Mus musculus: one gene and its partner. Each later gene encodes a partner of the first gene's protein in a complex. Links are inferred from orthologs where the notes say so. Each region holds a gene or a part of one and is shown on either strand. Other genes may lie near its edges.

The links.
Region 2: the proteins of Zmynd8 (region 1) and Dbn1 are in contact, whole or in part, in a crystal structure (PDB 5Y1Z), measured with the Homo sapiens proteins. The link is inferred for Mus musculus from reciprocal best matches to the Homo sapiens genes ZMYND8 and DBN1. Residues at the interface, in NP_001350670.1 of Homo sapiens: Gln167, Pro168, Gly169, Thr170, Gln236, Ile237, Val240, Lys243, Ile244, His247, Trp269, Leu285, Gly287, Phe288, Phe307, Gly309, Gln310, His311, Asp312, Ala314, Thr335, Lys336, Ser337, Ile338; in NP_004386.3 of Homo sapiens: Met1, Ala2, Phe6, Ser7, Arg10, Leu11, Leu14, Tyr17, Glu18, Asp92, Ala93, Cys96, Ala97, Ala99, Ser100, Lys104, Glu107, Phe108, Gln110.

Annotation. Positions count from the first base shown.
Region 1 is NC_000068.7:165,802,957-165,812,147, forward strand, and holds part of Zmynd8 (protein kinase C-binding protein 1), read right to left. Parts: intron 4,974-9,191; coding exon 4,563-4,973; intron 2,422-4,562; coding exon 2,231-2,421; intron 1-2,230. UniProt on the Homo sapiens protein: Chromatin reader that recognizes dual histone modifications such as histone H3.1 dimethylated at 'Lys-36' and histone H4 acetylated at 'Lys-16' (H3.1K36me2-H4K16ac) and histone H3 methylated at 'Lys-4' and histone H4 acetylated at 'Lys-14' (H3K4me1-H3K14ac).
Region 2 is NC_000079.6:55,469,425-55,477,690, reverse strand, and holds the end of Dbn1 (drebrin), read left to right. Parts: exon of another isoform or gene 1-10; coding exon 11-140; intron 141-917; coding exon 918-1,055; intron 1,056-1,374; coding exon 1,375-1,545; intron 1,546-2,154; coding exon 2,155-2,831; intron 2,832-3,129; coding exon of another isoform or gene 3,130-3,132; coding exon 3,133-3,235; intron 3,236-3,397; coding exon 3,398-3,468; 3' UTR 3,469-4,263; downstream 4,264-8,266. Other genes in the region: Prr7 (proline-rich protein 7), read right to left, coding at 4,701-5,098, 5,255-5,666. UniProt on the Homo sapiens protein: Actin cytoskeleton-organizing protein that plays a role in the formation of cell projections. Required for actin polymerization at immunological synapses (IS) and for the recruitment of the chemokine receptor CXCR4 to IS.

The DNA of each region.
Region 1 (9,191 bases):
TAAAGATTTGGGCCAGAACAAGCGGGGCTGACGGCGGAGAGCAGAAGTCCTAAAAATTCAATTCTCAGCAACCACATGAAGGCTCACAACCATCTGTACAGCTACAGTGTACTCACATACATAAAATGAATAAATAAGTTTAAAAAAAAAGTAAATTAAAAGAAAATTTTTAGTTTAAAAAAAGGTATTGATTCCAATCAGGAGGGCTAAGAAATGGCTCAGTGGTTAGAGCACTAGCTGCTTTTCCAGAGGTCCTGGGTTCAGTCCTGTGCACTGGCACAGTGGCTCACAACCATCCATAACTCAAATTACAGATCTGTCTCTGTCATATGGTATGATATGCTGGACCCTGACCCCGACTCTGTCTAACCCCAACTTTGTCTAAGCCCAACCCTGTCTAACCCCAACATTGACCCCATCTCCATCTAACCCCAACCCTGATCCTAACTCTGTCTAACCTGCACCCTGACCCAGACACTAACACTGACCCTGCATGCAGGAAAAATACCCATATTACCCATACATATAAAAATAAAGAGTGCCGGGCATGGTGGCGCATGCCTTTAATCCCAGCACTTGGGAGGCAGAGGCAGGTGGATTTCTGAGTTCGAGGCCAGCCTGGTCTACAAAGTGAGTTCCAGGATAGCCAGGGCTAAACAGAGAAACCCTGTCTCAAAAAAACAAACAAACAAACAAAAAAAAATAATAATAAAAATAAAAAATAAAGAGGAAATTCCAAAGCTGGGCGGAATGACTCACACCTATAACCCAGCACTCAGGAGAGGCCAGGGCGGGAGGATTAAAGACCAGGCTCAGGTACACAGCACTTTTTGACACAGAGTTAAGTAAACCAAAAAAGAAAAGGGGAGAAGGGGAGGGGGCAGGGGGGAGGGGGGGTAGGGGGGAGGGGAGAGAGAGAGAGAGAGAGAGAGAGAGAGAGAGAGGAAGGAAGGAAGGAAGGAAGGAAGGAAGGAAGGAAGGGAGAGAGAGAGAGAGAGAGAGAGAGAGAAAGAGAGAGAGAGAAAGAGAGAGAGAGAAAGAAAGAAAGAAAGAAAGAAAGAAAGAAAGAAAGAAAGAAAGAAAGAAAACAGAGCAGAGCAACCCTCTTCTTCACCCCTCTCTCGCCTGCACCCTCATAGCTTGAACTGCTGGTCTCTAATGAGTAAACACTCCTGATTGGCTCATTAGTAAAAGACAAATTGCTCTTGTTCACACAACCATTTACTAAATAGGAAAGTGTTTCTCATTAGCTATTAAATTACTGGCAGTGATAAACCCGATAAGCAGGCGACTAGCTGACCCACGCAAAGCTCACAGTGATGGACTCAGTACCTCCACCCAGCACCAAGCACCTACTACCCAGGCATCAGCCCCATCCTTAGGGACAAGCCAACAGCCAAAGGAGCCCCAGGGGTCACCACCATACCTCGACTACCACCGACTACCACCCTCAGGACACAGCAGCGGCCTCCACAACACCAAGGTGCGTGTTTTAGTCAACCGCGCTCATTCAAGGACTTGCCCAACTGAGAGAGTCTGCCAAGTTTACACATAGCAGGCCATCCTACATGCCAGGCCACCAGCAGGGACTGAACCCTGAGCCCGAGAGAGTGGATGACTTAAGGAGGGGACCCAGGAGCCCCTCTTAAGTCCCTGGCATGTCATCGTGCTGGTGTGACAATGGAGTCTCTCACTCTGGTTCAGCGTCCCTTCTCTGGGCAAGCCAAACAGACCAGTGTTCACCTCCCCAAGAGAAATCGGCGCACCACCAGTCCACAGTTTTCTATTAACTAACCTGCTGGGTGGCAGTGGCACAGGCCTTTAGTCCCCTCGCTCAGGAGGCAGAGGGGGGCGGATCTCTGTGAGTTCAAAGCCAGCTCTAGTCTACAGAGCCAAGTTCCAAGACAGCCAAGCCAGGTGGGGGATGGTAGCCACACACCTGCAATCTCAGATACTTAGGAGCTCTTCAAGGCCAGCCTAGACTCCAGAGGCAGACCCTGCCTCAAAATAAAACAGAATGGCGCTGGAGACACAATGCAGGGTTACAGCACTTGTGTAGCAGTATCCCAAACCCTGGTTTAGCCATGATAGATGAAACTATCTAACTCAAGACTCAAATGTAAATTGTCCTTGGAGACCCTTTGTTAAAGCCTGCAACTTAGCCTTTTTTACAAACTACCAAGCCAGGGCCCCAACAACCCCACCCCAGCCGCAGCACCAACCCACTTACTTTGCTGGTGTACTTGGCAATGTCTGCGGCCACGTCGGCCGAGGCGGTGGCAATGGGAAGGTCGGCATTGATTGCAGACGCCAGGGTGCTTGCTGAGCCCGAACTGCTGACCAGGGCTGCCGGCTGTGTGCTGGTCACCAGCGTGATGGTGGACGTGGATGGGCTCTGGGTGACCTCCTTCTGCTGGACAGCTAAGAAAGCAAAGGGTCGGGTCACTCCACCCATACAGAAAAGCACATCCCAGCAAACAGCCGGGGCGAGGGAGGGAAGTCTTCTTATAGCTTCCCCTAGCCAGCGTTTGAACTACGAATGCCAGTGTCTCACCTTGCCCAAGCTCGAGCCTGGCTCCTCTGAGCTCTCTTCTCCACTAGGCGCCAACCTTGCACTACAAAGACCTAAGCAATCATCTTCAGGAGCTAACTCAAGGCTGTTCAGTTTAGGGGACTTAATCGAGCCTTGAAGCACCAGGCTACCAGAAGGACTTAACAGCTGGATGCAGCCAACATCTGAAGACGTGAAACCTCTGTCTTTCCATCTCTATGAGAAGGTAAGAACTTTGGCCATTCATTGGCAAACCCGGACAGCTTCACAAACAGACCCTCTGGCTTTCATTACAAGGCCTGAGCCCTTTCTACCTTTGAAAGTGCCAGCCACCCCTGCACCAGTCACCCTGGACCCCTTCCTCAGGTATGACAGACCCAGTGTCCTACTAATTAAAATCACTTCCTGCCTGAAGGGAGTAAGAGTCTGTCACTCATTAAAATCTCAGCCCTTGACATCTTTGGTGTTTGCAGTGTTGGGAACTTAACCCGGAGCTCTGTGCATGCTGGGTGAGCATTCTACGCAACTATACCCGTGACCCAATAACTTTACCGATCCGTCAGCACAGCGCTCATTAAAATCAACGCCTTTCGTTTTAATTGGTGGCAAAACAGTACCACGCTCATTGAAGTCAGTCCTTGCCACAGCGGCTAAAAAGGCAATGTGGTATGAAGAGAGTAAAGCCACTACTTGGCCATTTTAATCACTGGTGGTTACAGGAGCCTCTGCTGATCAAAGTCTGACCCAGCAGGCTATATATAAGGCGTGTTGAGGGAGTAACCACTGCGTCAAGTCTGTCTCCGCTGCTTTACTGATTAAAACTGGCCCTTCCCAGTTGCAATAAGCCTTACAACCTGACACAGGACTATCTGGAAGCTGAGGACCCTACTGCCACCAGGTCCTGGCATTGCAGCCACCTACCCTATCTGCAGGAGACAGCCTTAGATAGAAACAGAATCCAACAAGGGGTTGCCCTAATCCCATGTCCACTGCAGTACTTGAGAGCTCACTCTAGACCTGTCCAGCTTTTCAGGCCTTCTCCAGCCACCTGGCCTTGAGTCCCTGAAAGTGTCCCTGTGACTGACCTGTTACCTCACTGGGATGAGCTCTGGGAGCATGGGGGAAGGACAGAGCGAGTGTGAAGGAAGCTCCTTTGCCCCAAGAAACCAGACCCACATTAGTGCTCCTGAAGCTGGGTTCAGACAATTGAGCGGAGCCATCAGCTGCAGGACAGAGACTGGCCTCCAGCACTGAGTTCTCAGAGGCCGGCTCACCTTGGCAGGGGTTTGGAAGGAAACTGTCCCCCCTACCGATTCCTCACACTCTAAAGACTTTCCCACAAAACGCCTGGAGATTCCCAGATGCTCACAAGACATAGTCATTGCAGCATATCTTACAATGGGAAAAACTAAAAGCATCCTCAATGCCCACCAGCAGGTGAACACCTTAAATGAACTAGGGAATACTATGCAGCAGTCCAAAAGGATAAGACACAGACAGACCTCTAAAACATGCTGATGGGTGGGAGGGAAGGGGGAAAAAAAAAATCAAGAATGGTACCATTTTTGCTTTAAAAAAAAAGAAAGAAAGAAAGAAAAAAGACAATATTTTATGGTATAATATTATATGGTATAAAAACAAACGTATAGGCATGCACTGGGAGAGGCATAAGGACAACAAATGATTGTCACAGAAGGGTGGACAATGACAGGGACAGCGAATGGGCCCACATTGAGCATTCTGAATTCTACACACATATCCTGTCCCCTCTGTAAAGAGGAAACACGTATCACTTATAAAACAGAATAAAAAAAAATCTTTAAAAAAAAAAATCAGGCAAATAGTGCTAGCAAGCCAGTTTTTAAAAAAATAATTCCATATGGGATGATAAGGCCTGCGGTGACCATGACACATAGGGATGTAGGGGAAAAATTCAACAAGGGTGGCCTTTCTCCTGTTAGTGTGGCAAAAAGGGGGTGGGCGCCACAGAGAACAGAAGGGGGCGCGGTACCTTTCACAGCCTGTCTGGTCTGATATCTCGTCCCCTGGGAAGACTGAGGCTGCTGCTGCTGGCTCTGCTGTTGGCTCTGCTGTTGTTGTTGCTGCTGCTGCTGCTGGCGCTGTATCTTCTGCATGTGCCACTTTTGGGAGGACGTTTGAAACTTACTTGATGCGTTCCACACGACCCGCTGCACAGCTGGGACAGTCTCCTTCGGTAAGAGCGGCCTCTGCTTCTTCACCGGGCTTCCCGTGACGGCGGTGGCCGGTGCCGTGACTGTGACGGTAGACATCGTGCTGGTGGTGGCGGCGGCCACGGTGACCCCAGCCGCGGGTGCTTGGGTGGCTGAGCGGGTGAGTACCGGTGTCTCTGGGGGAGACTGGTTGCCCGCCGAAGTGGACGACGGTGGCGGTTTACCTATAGCTACAGCCAGGCAGGGTGGAAACAAGCAGAAACTGGATTGGCTTCCTGAGCTGGGACTTCACATGGCAGGCCAAGTTCTAGGTCAAACCCAGCAGAGGCAGACTGCCTGAAGGAATTTAGAGGGCCCCTGGAGCCCCAAGGACAAGCATGGTCTCTGCAACAGCTATGAATTATGCCTTACTGAGCACAAACTAATATCCCAGATGGAGAAGTCACAAGCCTTCTGGGGGAAGAAGAGAGCAAGACCCAGCCCCCATGCTGAGCAGTAATTAACTAGTGGCCCAGGCTGTGGGTAATGGAGACTGCCTAACTGCAGCCCTTCTTCCCCAGGAGGAGCTCTTGGCAAAAGCAACTGGCTGTCAAAAGGTGTGCACACCAAATCTACTTTCCCCTTTGACAAAGCCACTGGGAGGGGCGACCTAGACATTTAACAAAGGAATTCAGCCCCAGGCCAGAGAACCTTCTGTTAACACCTTCGGCCCAGCCTAGCCTGCATTCTGGATGTGTCTGCGCAGCCCTTCATGGATAGCAAACAATGCTGAATTTCCTATCCTACAATGGTCAAGTCTAAGCCCCCTTTTTCCCTAGACAGGCTTTCTCTGTGTAGCCCTGGCTGTCCTGGAACTTGCTCTGTAGACCAGGCTGGCCTTGAACTCAGAGATCCGCCTGCCTCTGCCTCCCATGTGCTGGGATTAAAGGCATGCGCCACCATACCTGGCTTTTTAAAGTTTTCTTAAAAGCGTTAAGTTGGGGGCTGGGGATGTAGCTCAGGGGCACTATTCGACTGCAATGACCTGGGCTTAAGTTTGGAGGGCTGTGGGCGGGACGGGAAGTCAGTGGAGAAGCTGCACAGTATACTGAACTTACTTATAAAGAGGAGATTGGGGGTGTGGGGGGAGCCTGGAGAGATGGCTCAGTACTTAAGAGCACACTGACTGTTCTTCCGAAGGTCCCGAGTTCAAATCCCAGCAAACACGTGGTGGCTCACAACCATCATCATGATCAGATCATGAGATCTGATGCCCTCTTCTGGTGCATTAGTGTACTTAGATTAAATAAATCTTTAAAAAATAAAATGAAAAAGGGAAGATGGTAGCAGCTGCAGAGGTGCCAGCTTGTACTATACCCCATTCAGGGTACTTAGAAAACACACACCAAACATGGTGGGGGGGGGGTGGCTTTGCCACCAATGGCCACATTCCTTGGTATCCTCTTAGATCCAGATCACCCAGAGAAACACCTGGAAATTCCAGATCTTGAGCAAGCTTCGGGTTACAAGAAGCCAAGGAGAATGAAGAGAAGAGTTGCCATCTCCTCTGAGGCGAAGGTCTACAGCTTAGTGAGCACCTCGCTCCTCTGAAGACTAGAGCTCCAGAGTGAGAGAGCTACAGGGAAGCGGGGCTGGCTAGTCCCTTGGCTGGCCTGACTGACATACATCAGACCCTGGCTGCCCTGGGTATAGAAGCAACTCTGAACTTGTCCATGCTAGGCAGATGTGCCTAGCAGGGTTCTAACAGGAAGCAGCTGCAGGGTGGCTTGTGCTGCTGCCGGTGACACAAATGTCATCAGGGCCTCAAGAAGGTCAGTTCCCGCCGGGCAGTGGTGGTGCATGCCTTTAATCCCAGCACTTGGGAGGCAGAGGCAGGAGGATTTCTGAGTTTGAGGCCAGCCTGGTCTACAAAGTGAGTTCCAGGACAGCCAGGGCTACACAGAGAAACCCTGTCTCGAAAAAAAGGTCGGTTCCGCTCTACTCTCCTTACTAGCTTTGTGAGGTATGCCTACTTGTTGGTGATTTTTTTGTTGTTTTTGTTTTTTTGAGACAGGGTTTCTCTGTGTAGCCCTGGCTGTCCTGGAACTTACTCTGTAGACCAGGCTGGCCTCGAACTCAGAAATCCGCCTGCCTCTGCCTCCCAAGTGCTGGGATTAAAGGCGTGCGCCACCACTGCCCGGCTGTAGATCTTTTTCCAATAGACAACAGTATCAGAAACAAGCTCTCCAGTTGTGCCAGGTAGGGCTTGTTAACCACAAGAATATGGAAATTTCTTCAGTAGGGTGAATTCCAGAAATTTCTTCGCTGATTTCTTCAATGGGGAGAATTCTGGGGTTTGGGGCGGGGTGAGTAGAAAGCTCTGGGCAGTTCAATTGTCTTAGAAAACTCTGAGGGTGTAACCAATCACTCTAAAGAAATGCAGATTACCTACCAGCCCCAGTAAATTGCTAAACTGGCCTGCAGAACTTTGCATTTGTAAAACCTAACAAACAGCCCCCCCCTCCATGGGAACACCCACAGTGAAGGGCAGTCATAAGGCTTTGTCTACATCTGCTCCTGAGCTGGGTAGCTGCACTCCACAACCCTCTTCACTTCAGGATGGACCAGAGGGAGCATGGCTGTAGAGAAGCTAGGAGCATCGCCTAGCCACCTCGGAGAAAGACCATCCACCCACCACCAAGGAGCTTCACAGGGACACCGGTTTACAGAAGTAAGTTTTGCCTCAGACCTTGGGAAATTGCTCTCTGATTGTGTTTAGTTCTAGAATCATCTTTCACTCAACCTACCACCAACTCGGGGTTTGCGGGAGATCCTGGCTGTTTCCTTCAGACATCACATCCAGAAACAGCTCTGCCAGAATGCTAACACTTCTTAAAATCATAACCTCCAATTTCCGTGGATCTTTCTGCTCTCACTGATAGGAAGCTCACGACCAAAGTGAAAGCTCCTGCTCACGATCCCCCGAAGTTGGGAGGGCACGCTTTGCTTGGTCTGTTTTGTTTGAGACAGGGTCTGATGTAGCCGAAGCTGGCCTTGAATTCTCTACTCCTCTACCTCCAAATGCTGGGGTTAGAAGTTTGGGTTACCACACCTACCTATGCTAGTACCTATCTGTAATATAAAAAATTTCCCCTAAGCCAGGGCAGAAGGCAAATCAATCGAAAGGTTCGTTTCAAGGCTGGCAAGGTCCCTCGGTGGCAGAGAATCTTGTCACTGAGGAAGCTGCCCTAAGTTTAATTCTCAGGATGCATGTGGTGGAGAGACCTGACTCGTGAGTAGTCCTTTGACCTACACACACACATAGACACACATACACACAAACCATTTAAAAAAAAAAAAAGCTTGTTTCGGAAAGAATAGGAGGTTCTGAGTGTCATGGGAGAAGGGGAGTCCCACAGTCCTGCATGGAGGAAAGGTCAGGCCTAACAAGCAGGCTCTCTACCCTAGGCAGATTTCCGAGGCCTTCAACAGGCCTTGGTGGAAGCTCAGGCGCCCTTACCCCCCCCACCACCACAGCACCACAGGGATCCCGTTCCTTTTTCTCTGCCACAGGGTAAGAACTGAGATTCTTGACCACCCGCTTAGGCATCTCACAGGGAGAAAGGTTCTCAAAGCCCAGCAAGGGCTTGCTGTAAGTCTCCCTACAGCAATGCAGGCGCCAATTCCCACCTTATTCCTGGTTACGATGAGAGATTAGCTCCTATCAGAAACAAGACACTCAAACAAAACAAAACAAAAAAACCTGGCTATCCATCACCAAACACACGCCGCACCTAAGTGATGCCGCCCCTCCACCCTCAATGGACCACTCAGGATCTTGGATGTTGTTGGATGTTACTGGCATCCTCCAGCCACCCATTTTCCCAGCCAAAATCTTGCTATGACTCTGTTAGGGGAAGGACACTCTTCACCCAGCCCTTTCAGCCTAGTTTCCAGAATGCTCACTGCTGCACATAGTCACCTCCTCCTAATAGGCACCAAGCCTCCAGCAATTCAGGCTGTGGTCCTCAGCCTGGTAGGTTCTGCCCACTAGGAGGAGACATGTTTGGTGGACGGATGCTCTCACCATCTAGTGGCTAGAGGCCAGAGTTGCACCTACACCACCTCCACTGTAAGGAGCAAAGAAATCCAGGGAATCCCAGGGCTCAGATACCTCAACGCACATAGGACAGACAGACAGACAGTCATGTCCGGTAGGTACTCAATGAGGTCTCTTACGTTTTCAGCGGTAGGGCAATTCCTAAGGGATGGTGCTTGCCTGGTTGTGAGGCCATGGGTTCAATCACCAGCACTTTTAAATCTGGTATGATGGTAAATACCTCTAATCCTATCACACTGGAGGTAGAGGCAGGGGGAATCTGAGCTCAAGGATTTGTAATTCGAGGCCAAACGGAACCATGTGAAACCTTAAGCAAGCAGACTTAAGGCTAAAGTGAACTCACAGGAAA
Region 2 (8,266 bases), on another chromosome or scaffold:
GTGCCCTCAGGAGGCGGCTGCCATCATTGCCCAGCGGCCTGATAACCCACGGGAGTTCTTCAGACAGCAGGAACGAGTGGCATCGGCCTCTGGTGGCAGCTGTGACGCGCCTGCGCCTGCACCCTTCAACCACCGACCAGGTAGTCCTTGGCCCCCTCCTTGCCCAATCAGTACTCCTCAGACTATGGCCCTAATTCCCTCTGGGACTTCTTCTTGGAAAAGAAGCCTTGCCCAAGGAAGGACTCCTTGGAGAAGGCAAGACCCCCTTCAGTGTGCTTCCACCCCCAGCTTTCCAGGTGGTGGCACCCCCGGAGGGGCTGGGTTGGGGGGCACTGTCAATGTCCGGCATTGGCTGAGTATGGCTGGTACTCAAGGCCAGTTGGGAAGATTTGGTGAAGCTTCAGACACACTGCTGGTGTTGGGAGTTTCCCTGCAGGGTTGGACTAGGTCTGGCCCGAAGGCTTTGGATGCATGGAGGGTGGGATCTTGCTCTGTCCTGCAGTGTGAGCATCCTGGAGCAGTGGTTCTCTCGGCTCGCTTGTTTGGCTTCTCCTTGTGTAGCTTCTGCCTCCCCTTGGAAGCACCCTTTCATTTCTTGTCTGCCGGTGTGAGCATTTGCATCTTCTGTGTGCTTGGTCATGTTGCCGGGGTTCCAGGAGCATGGCAGACTAGACTCATTCGTGCTGCTACACAGAGGCTGGCTGTTGTGTGCCCATGTGTGTATCTGGTGCTGGTTGGTGGGAGGCATCAGATGGCTTGAGGCTGTGGCCCAGCTTGGCTGAATGTGCACCCTGGCTGAAGGTGGCTTGGACATCTAGGGCTGGCCCTGGGGGTGGGTGAGGCCTTGGGGCAGGGGTGGGGGAGACTGACCCTCTCTTGTCCTCTGTCTCTTTCTCTGTCTGTCTCTCTCTCGGCAGGTCGTCCGTACTGCCCTTTCATAAAGGCATCGGACAGTGGGCCTTCCTCCTCCTCCTCTTCCTCCTCTTCCCCTCCACGGACTCCCTTTCCCTATATCACCTGCCACCGCACCCCAAACCTCTCTTCCTCCCTCCCATGTAGGTAGCAGCCCCAGGCCTCGGCAGGGTGGGGTAAGGAGGGCCCCGCTTCCCAGCAGCCCCCTCGCCCTTTCTCCCCCAGCCTGACTGCCGACTGCTGGTGTTTGTCCCCAGAGCAGGTACTACCTGCCTCTTGTCCCTGGCCCTGTAGGGCACTGGCCCCCAGCGGCCTGGTTCACAGGGTCTGGAGCAGCAATCTGGCCCCTGGGGGGCCTGGGGAGCTCACAGCCCCCACCCACACTTGAGACACAAGGTGGATAGTCCTGATTCCACCTGGCTCCCACTTCCTCACTCACTAGCCTGGGCATTTGCTCCGCAGGCAGCCACCTGGACAGCCACCGGAGGATGGCACCCACTCCTATTCCCACCCGGAGCCCATCTGATTCCAGCACAGCCTCTACCCCCATCGCTGAGCAGATCGAGAGGGCCCTGGATGAGGTCACATCCTCGCAGCCTCCACCTCCACCTCCACCACCTCCACCAACTCAAGGTAAGAGAAGGGCCCCACCGGTACCTATCCTTCCATCAGTCTCTGGGTAGGGAACCCTAGGTTGCCACAGTAACATAGTTCAAAGAACTTGGACCAATCCTCACCAACACTACACTGCTAAGGAAGTGGCTATAGCAGAGGAGCGCCCTGGTGTTGCTCTTAGACAATGCCTTCTCTAACCCTCAGTGGCTCATCACTGAGGAATGTGGCCTTCCTCCTGGTGGTTTAAAAAAAGTTGGTGAGGGCTGGAGAGATGGCTCCGAGGTTAAGAGCACTGGTTGCTCTCCCTGAGGTCCTGAGTTCAATTCCCAGCATCCACATGGTGGCTCACAACCACCTATAATGAGATCTGGCACCCTCTTCTGACCTGGAGGCGTACACGTAGGCAGGATGCTGTATACATAATAAAAATGAATCTTTCAAAACATAAAAATGAAAAGAGTGGGTGAAAGGATAGGGAGGTACAGCTGTAGTAGAAGGTATCTCAAATTTACCCAGAAGTCTCAAACTCGTCACTCTTCAGTGGGTGGACATGGTACACTGGCCCAGGGCATCTATCCTTCCCCAAGGGGGCTGACTGTATTGTGTCCTTCATGTGCACTGCCACAGAGGCCCAGGAGACTACCCCAAGCCTGGATGAAGAGCTCAGCAAGGAGGCCAAAGTAACAGCAGCTCCTGAGGTCTGGGCTGGCTGTGCGGCAGAGCCCCCTCAGGCACAGGAACCTCCCCTGTTGCAAAGCAGCCCCCTGGAGGACTCGATGTGCACAGAATCTCCAGAGCAGGCTGCCCTGGCTGCCCCTGCGGAGCCTGCTGCCTCTGTCACCTCAGTAGCTGATGTCCATGCAGCTGACACCATTGAGACCACCACTGCCACTACTGACACCACTATTGCCAACAACGTCACCCCTGCCGCTGCCAGCCTCATTGATCTATGGCCTGGCAACGGGGAAGAGGCCTCAACACTTCAGGCTGAACCCAGGGTGCCCACACCACCCTCAGGTGCTGAGGCCTCCCTGGCAGAGGTGCCCCTGCTGAATGAGGCCGCTCAGGAGCCGCTGCCGCCGGTAGGCGAAGGCTGTGCTAACCTTCTTAATTTTGATGAGCTGCCAGAACCTCCAGCCACCTTCTGTGACCCAGAGGAGGAAGTAGGAGAAACGCTGGCTGCCTCCCAGGTCCTAACTATGCCCTCAGCTCTAGAGGAGGTAGATCAGGTGCTGGAGCAGGAGCTGGAGCCAGAACCTCACCTGCTGACCAATGGAGAGACCACTCAAAAGGAGGGGACCCAGGTGGGACAGGGGGAGCCTGGTGGGAGGGACAGTATTCAGTGCGGAGGGGGAGGGCGGATTGCTTGTAGATCCATATTGAGAAGCAGCTCTATGCCACGCCCCTTTCCATCTCTGCCATTCGTTCCCTGGCAGGCATCTGTGTTTCCCCAGCAACCAAGGATTCCAAGAGTGGTTGCTGGGGAAACAGGCTCAGGCCTGATAGATCAGCTGTTGTCCTGACAGTTGGGTCCTGGTGACCTAAGCTTTTATTAAACTAACTAAATAAACAAACAAAACAAAACCAAATAACAAACCCCAGCAGGCCAGCGAAGGATACTTCAGTCAGTCACAGGAGGAAGAGTTCGCCCAATCAGAAGAGCCATGTGCAAAGGTTCCGCCTCCTGTATTTTACAACAAGCCTCCAGGTAGTATCCCCGGGTGAATGATGGGAATTCTGGAATTCTGGGATGGGACTGGAGGGCTAGGGGTGTCACTAGAGTCGGTTGGCACAGCTCTTAGAGGTTGGGGGGCGGGTGGCACCACTGATGGATCTACCCAGCCTTCTCTCTTCTCTCAATATATCCTAGAAATCGACATCACCTGCTGGGATGCAGACCCAGTTCCTGAAGAGGAAGAGGGCTTCGAGGGTGGTGATTAGTAGCGGCGACTGCCCCCTGGCTGCCCTCGCCAAGGCTGCCTACCTGCAGTGGCCTCTGGCCAGCCGGCTTGCAGTGCCAGCATTAGCAGCAGCCCCGCCTGGCTCCCACTCTGGATTCCGGCACTGGCCGGGGACCTGTCTGCTTCCTTACCCACAGGGCCTGACTTTTACAGCTTTTCTCTTTTTTTTAAAAGTTGATAGACTTGTACAATTGACTGGTTTTCCTCCCGTTGGTAGTTGAAACAATGTTGCAGATTCCACCCCCTTCCTGCCCAGACCAGATTGTAGCTTAGTTCTTTCTGCTCAGCTGACCAGGGTGGAGGCCTCACCTTGTTTGGGACCTGGTGGGGGTCGGGGGTTCTGGTGGGAAAATGTTCCCCCCATCACTTTTCCTAGTTTTATGTTTCTTGGAAAAAAAATCACTTTGTATTCTCTATCCAGGGCTTCAGATATTTTGCACGAAATTTAAAACATGGCAATAAATGGCTCGTGGGCTCTGGCTCCCTGGGACCCTTCCCCTTCTCTTTACCCTCGCTGCTTGGTCAGAAGGAATTATCAGACCCACCTGGGGCCCCTTGGCTTCCCGCCCTCTCCTGCCGGGCAGGTCCCAGGCTGGAGGTCCTAGGCATGACTCAAGTCAGGGCTTATTGATGGGACCCAGTGGTTTGGGTGGCCCCTCCCCAATTCTTTCCTCTCTGCTTGGGTTCTTTTTCACATTAACTTTTTTTTTTTTTCTAAGCACAAACTTATGTAATGGGTCGTGCTCATGTCTGTTAATAAAGAAATCCAGATCCCTTCGGGCCTGCTGCTCTGGGCCTCCAGGGGTTGATCTGGCGTGGGCGCCGGCCCTCACGACCAGCTTCCCAACTCCTGTCACCTCCGAGGCTACAGGGGGCGCACAAAAACAGGTTAGGAGGAGACGGAACATTAAGCCCTTGAGAAACAACCTTTGGTTTCCGAACACCAGCCCTCTGCTCTCAAGGCCAGTACTCGGGCACTTTCCCTAAAGTCCACATGCCCGGTCACTAGCACCTTGTGCTTAAAGCAGCTGGTATCCCCCTCCGCTTGTACCAAAGCAGATCACACACCTTTATTATCCTCAAAATGTAACAAACAGGGTAAGAAATCCCTCCCTCCCCCCCACCCCTCCCTGCAGTCCAAGGGAAGCATTTAAAAAGCCTCGCAGTCAGGCTAGGAGTTCGCCCGTGGGGCTCGGGACGCCGGGCGCCCCTCTATACGGCTGTAGTCCTCCCGAACAAGGGGATGGAGACCGGCAGACGCCAAGCTCCGTGCTCCAGGGGCTCTCGGCTGCTGAGCTCTGAGTCGGTCCAGCTGGGGAAAACCCGGCGGCTGCGTTCCGCCTGCAGACAGAGGGCAGGGCAGGGTGCGGCGGGCCGCGGGGCGCTGGGAAGATGCAGCGCCGAAGTATAGCCCCGGTCCAGGAAGAGAGGCTTGTAACTCGGAGGCGGCTGCTCCTGCTTCTCCGCGCTGTCGCGGCGGCTCAGAAAGGGCGTGACGATCTTGCGGTAGAGGCCGCGAGTGTCCGTGAGCACCTCGCTGTAGGGAGGCGGCGGCTCGGCCATCAGCACCGCCTCCTCGTAGCACGGCGGCTTAGACATGTCCGATTCCGCTGCGGAACGGGAAGCGGGCTGGTGAGGATGAAGCCGCCGGCCCGGGGCAGAAGCCTCGCCCAGCCACCACCACCCCAGCCCGCTTCTCCCGGTGCTAAGGGTGGGGCGCCTCCGGCATGGGCAGGGAGCGCTCGCCTGCCGAAACGCAGCCTTACCTTGGCGCGGATAGCTCCAGGGCCGGGGCGGCACGGCGAGGTGCGGCGGCGGTGGGTGCGGCAGTGCGTGATGGTGTGGGTGCGGGTGCGCGTGCGGCGGCGCCGGCCCGTGGTGCAGCAGCGGGTGCACGTGCACGTGCGAGTGCGCGTGCACAGGCGCCTCCAGACGGCTGCGGTGCGGTGGCGGCGGCGGCGCCAGGCCGGGAGGACTTCCAGCCAGGCTGCCCTCAAGCTCGAGGGGCTCCAGCTCCAGGGCACGCAAGTTCTGCTCCCTTAGTCGCTCCTCCTGGCGCCGTTTGAGGCGGCGGCGCAGGAAGCTGCAGAAGCAGCAGAGCAGGACGATGAGACCCCAGATGAGCCAGAAGCCGGCGAAGCAAGTGAGGAACGTGTAGGTGCCCTGGGACATCACCATGGCTGCGGCACAAGCGGCAGGTCCTCGGCGGCTCTACTGGACGCTGGGCTCCTCGGCGTGGCCCCGGGGCCGCGCCACGCTCCCAGGTGCCGCCAGTGTCACTCGGGGACCTGCGGCCGGGGGCTGCCTGCGGCGGGGCTCAATAGGCGCACATGCCGGCGAGGGGCAACTGTGGTTCCCGCTCCTTCCCATGGCGCCGGCCGGCGCGGGCCTGCTTCACCCGGGGCCGCGAGCGACCTGCGGGGCAGACACAGGGCTCAGCGAGGCTCGCCAGGGTCCTTGGTGACTCCCGGCCTGCATCCGCGTCCCGCGCAGGGCCGGGGATGCCTCCTCGGTGGGAACCCCCGCACTCCCCGGGGGCCGGGTGACGTCACCCAGGGATGACGTCACGCCCCGAGGTTTCCCCGATAGGGTTTCCCCCGAATCGGGACCCGGCGACCGCGTGCTGACGCGACCCAAGAGAGGCCAGTAGGGGGCGCGCGGAGTCCGCCCGCGACCCCAGGGTCCAGCTTCGAGGTGGTTTCGGAAGCTGTGACTGCCAGGACGCTGGAGTAGTCTTGGCGCGGTGTTTTGGGGGCGAGGGAAAGGGCAGTGCACCTCCAGGAGGCCCACCAGCAGTCCGCTTGGAGCCCAGTTTCTGCCCTGCACTGCTTCCAACTATTAGCCACGCCTGAAAGAGATTGGCGAGTGGCTGCCACTGCATGCCACCAGCCCGGTCTTTGTCTGTTCCCAACACCGTGTGCTGGGCGTGGGCCAGGCCGGCTTTCCTTCCTCTAGGCGCCTCTGCCAGCCGGATTCTAGCCCCAACTCGACTTCCCACACCACCTACTCATGCGCAAACCCCACTTGGCTGCACCTCTCTTACTTCCAACCCAACCCCCTTCCTTCCACTAATCCCTTTCCCTCTTTGTAAAGTGGGGTAGAAAATTAGATTTGTCTTTCAGACCCACCTAGCCCTACAGTCAGGACAAACCCTGGTCTCTGGGTCCACCTCCTATCACAGCAGGGGGCGACATCTCTGCATGGGTGGGGGGCTACAGGGGTTGGTGGGAGAGAAGTCTGGAGCCCTGACTGCTTAATTAAGGCCAAGCAACAGACGGGTCACCATCCCCACAGAACAGAGATGGGCCTTTCTCGAATACCTTCTACCAGCAACTTACACAACCCTGTGGGTAACAGTGTCTTTCTAACTCACAGCTGGGAGCTGGAAGAGCAGTTAACTGCACAGACCGCAGCTCTAATTTGAACCTAGGTCTAGTCACCAAGCGCTGGCCCACTGAACTTGTGAGAAGGAAGGTTTTCCAGGAGCTTCAAGGAAATGCCTGGCCTTGGCGCACCCACACTCACTCAGCTTTGGTGCCCGAAATCAGCTTAAGACTCGGGCTGAAAGGGTGCCAGGCCTTGGCCACCCCATCTCCCCAGATGGCTCCTGTCTGACTCTCTGGCTGCCTTCAGCCATGTGTCACTTGGTGCCCGTGCCAGTCCTATCCTCCTGGGCCTGCGTTCCAGAGCAGACAAGGGTAGGAACAATAGCTCTGCCCGCCCCCTTGACAACCCCACCACGAGGCTGCCATGGTGATGCAGCCCAGATAAAAACACGATGCTGCCAGTCACTGGGAGTTAATTAAATCTGTTGTTCTCTTTCCTTGAGCCCTCAGGAACAGGAATGTTCTGAAGAAATAGGCACAAGCTAGAGGTTTCAAGCAAAAGGGCAGAAACAGTTCCGGGTTAAAGAAGGAATTTCTGTGGCTGGAGTTAATGATGCTTGCTAAGTTAGAAGTATCTGCCAAGAATCAGGGGTGACATGGGTCTGCAATGATGAAGATGGCTCGAGCCCAGAAGATGGGCTATCATGGACAGCATGATGTCACGGTCCCTTCTAAGAGTATATAAGGGGAAGCTTTAGAATAATGTCAGGGTCATCAGAAACTGTCCTTTCTTTCCAGGTAATTGTCATTTTTGAGACAGGATGTCACTATATAGTCCCAGCTAACTTAAGAGCAATCCACAGGCCTCTGCCTTCCCATTACTGGATGAAAGGCATGAACCACCACCACCACCACCACCACCACCACCACCACCACAACTGGCTTCATGCAGAATCTTAAGGGCATTCACATTACCCTGTCACTTCTGGTTGCACTGTTCTCTGAGAGATGAGGTGACACGCTCAGAAGCAAGAGCAAGCCTCGTCTCATGTGGCACAGCTAAAAGAAGGCGCTAAGGTTTAGCCTGTATCTCAGTCAGTCACTGCCCACTTCCCACGTGGCAGGCTGTGGATGAAACTCTGTTGGTCAGCACTGGGCACCAGAGACCCTGAGAACCCCTGGTCGTTAGGTTAACTAGTCGCCAGACTTCCTGTCCAGGCTCTGGCCCACCTGTTGTGGTGTAGCTCAGGGAGTGGGGAAGAAGTACAAGATGGAGAGAGAGTGGCAGCTTCAGGCTCAACACAGAATGAAGTACAGAAGCTATACCCTAAGGGTACCTAGCTAAAGTGGGCGTTAGGCCAGACTCCAAAGAATGAGCCCCAAATCTCTGTGCGTCTGTCGCTGAGGCAAGGATTAAGAACCATCATTCACTGTGCCATGCAATCTGAGGGT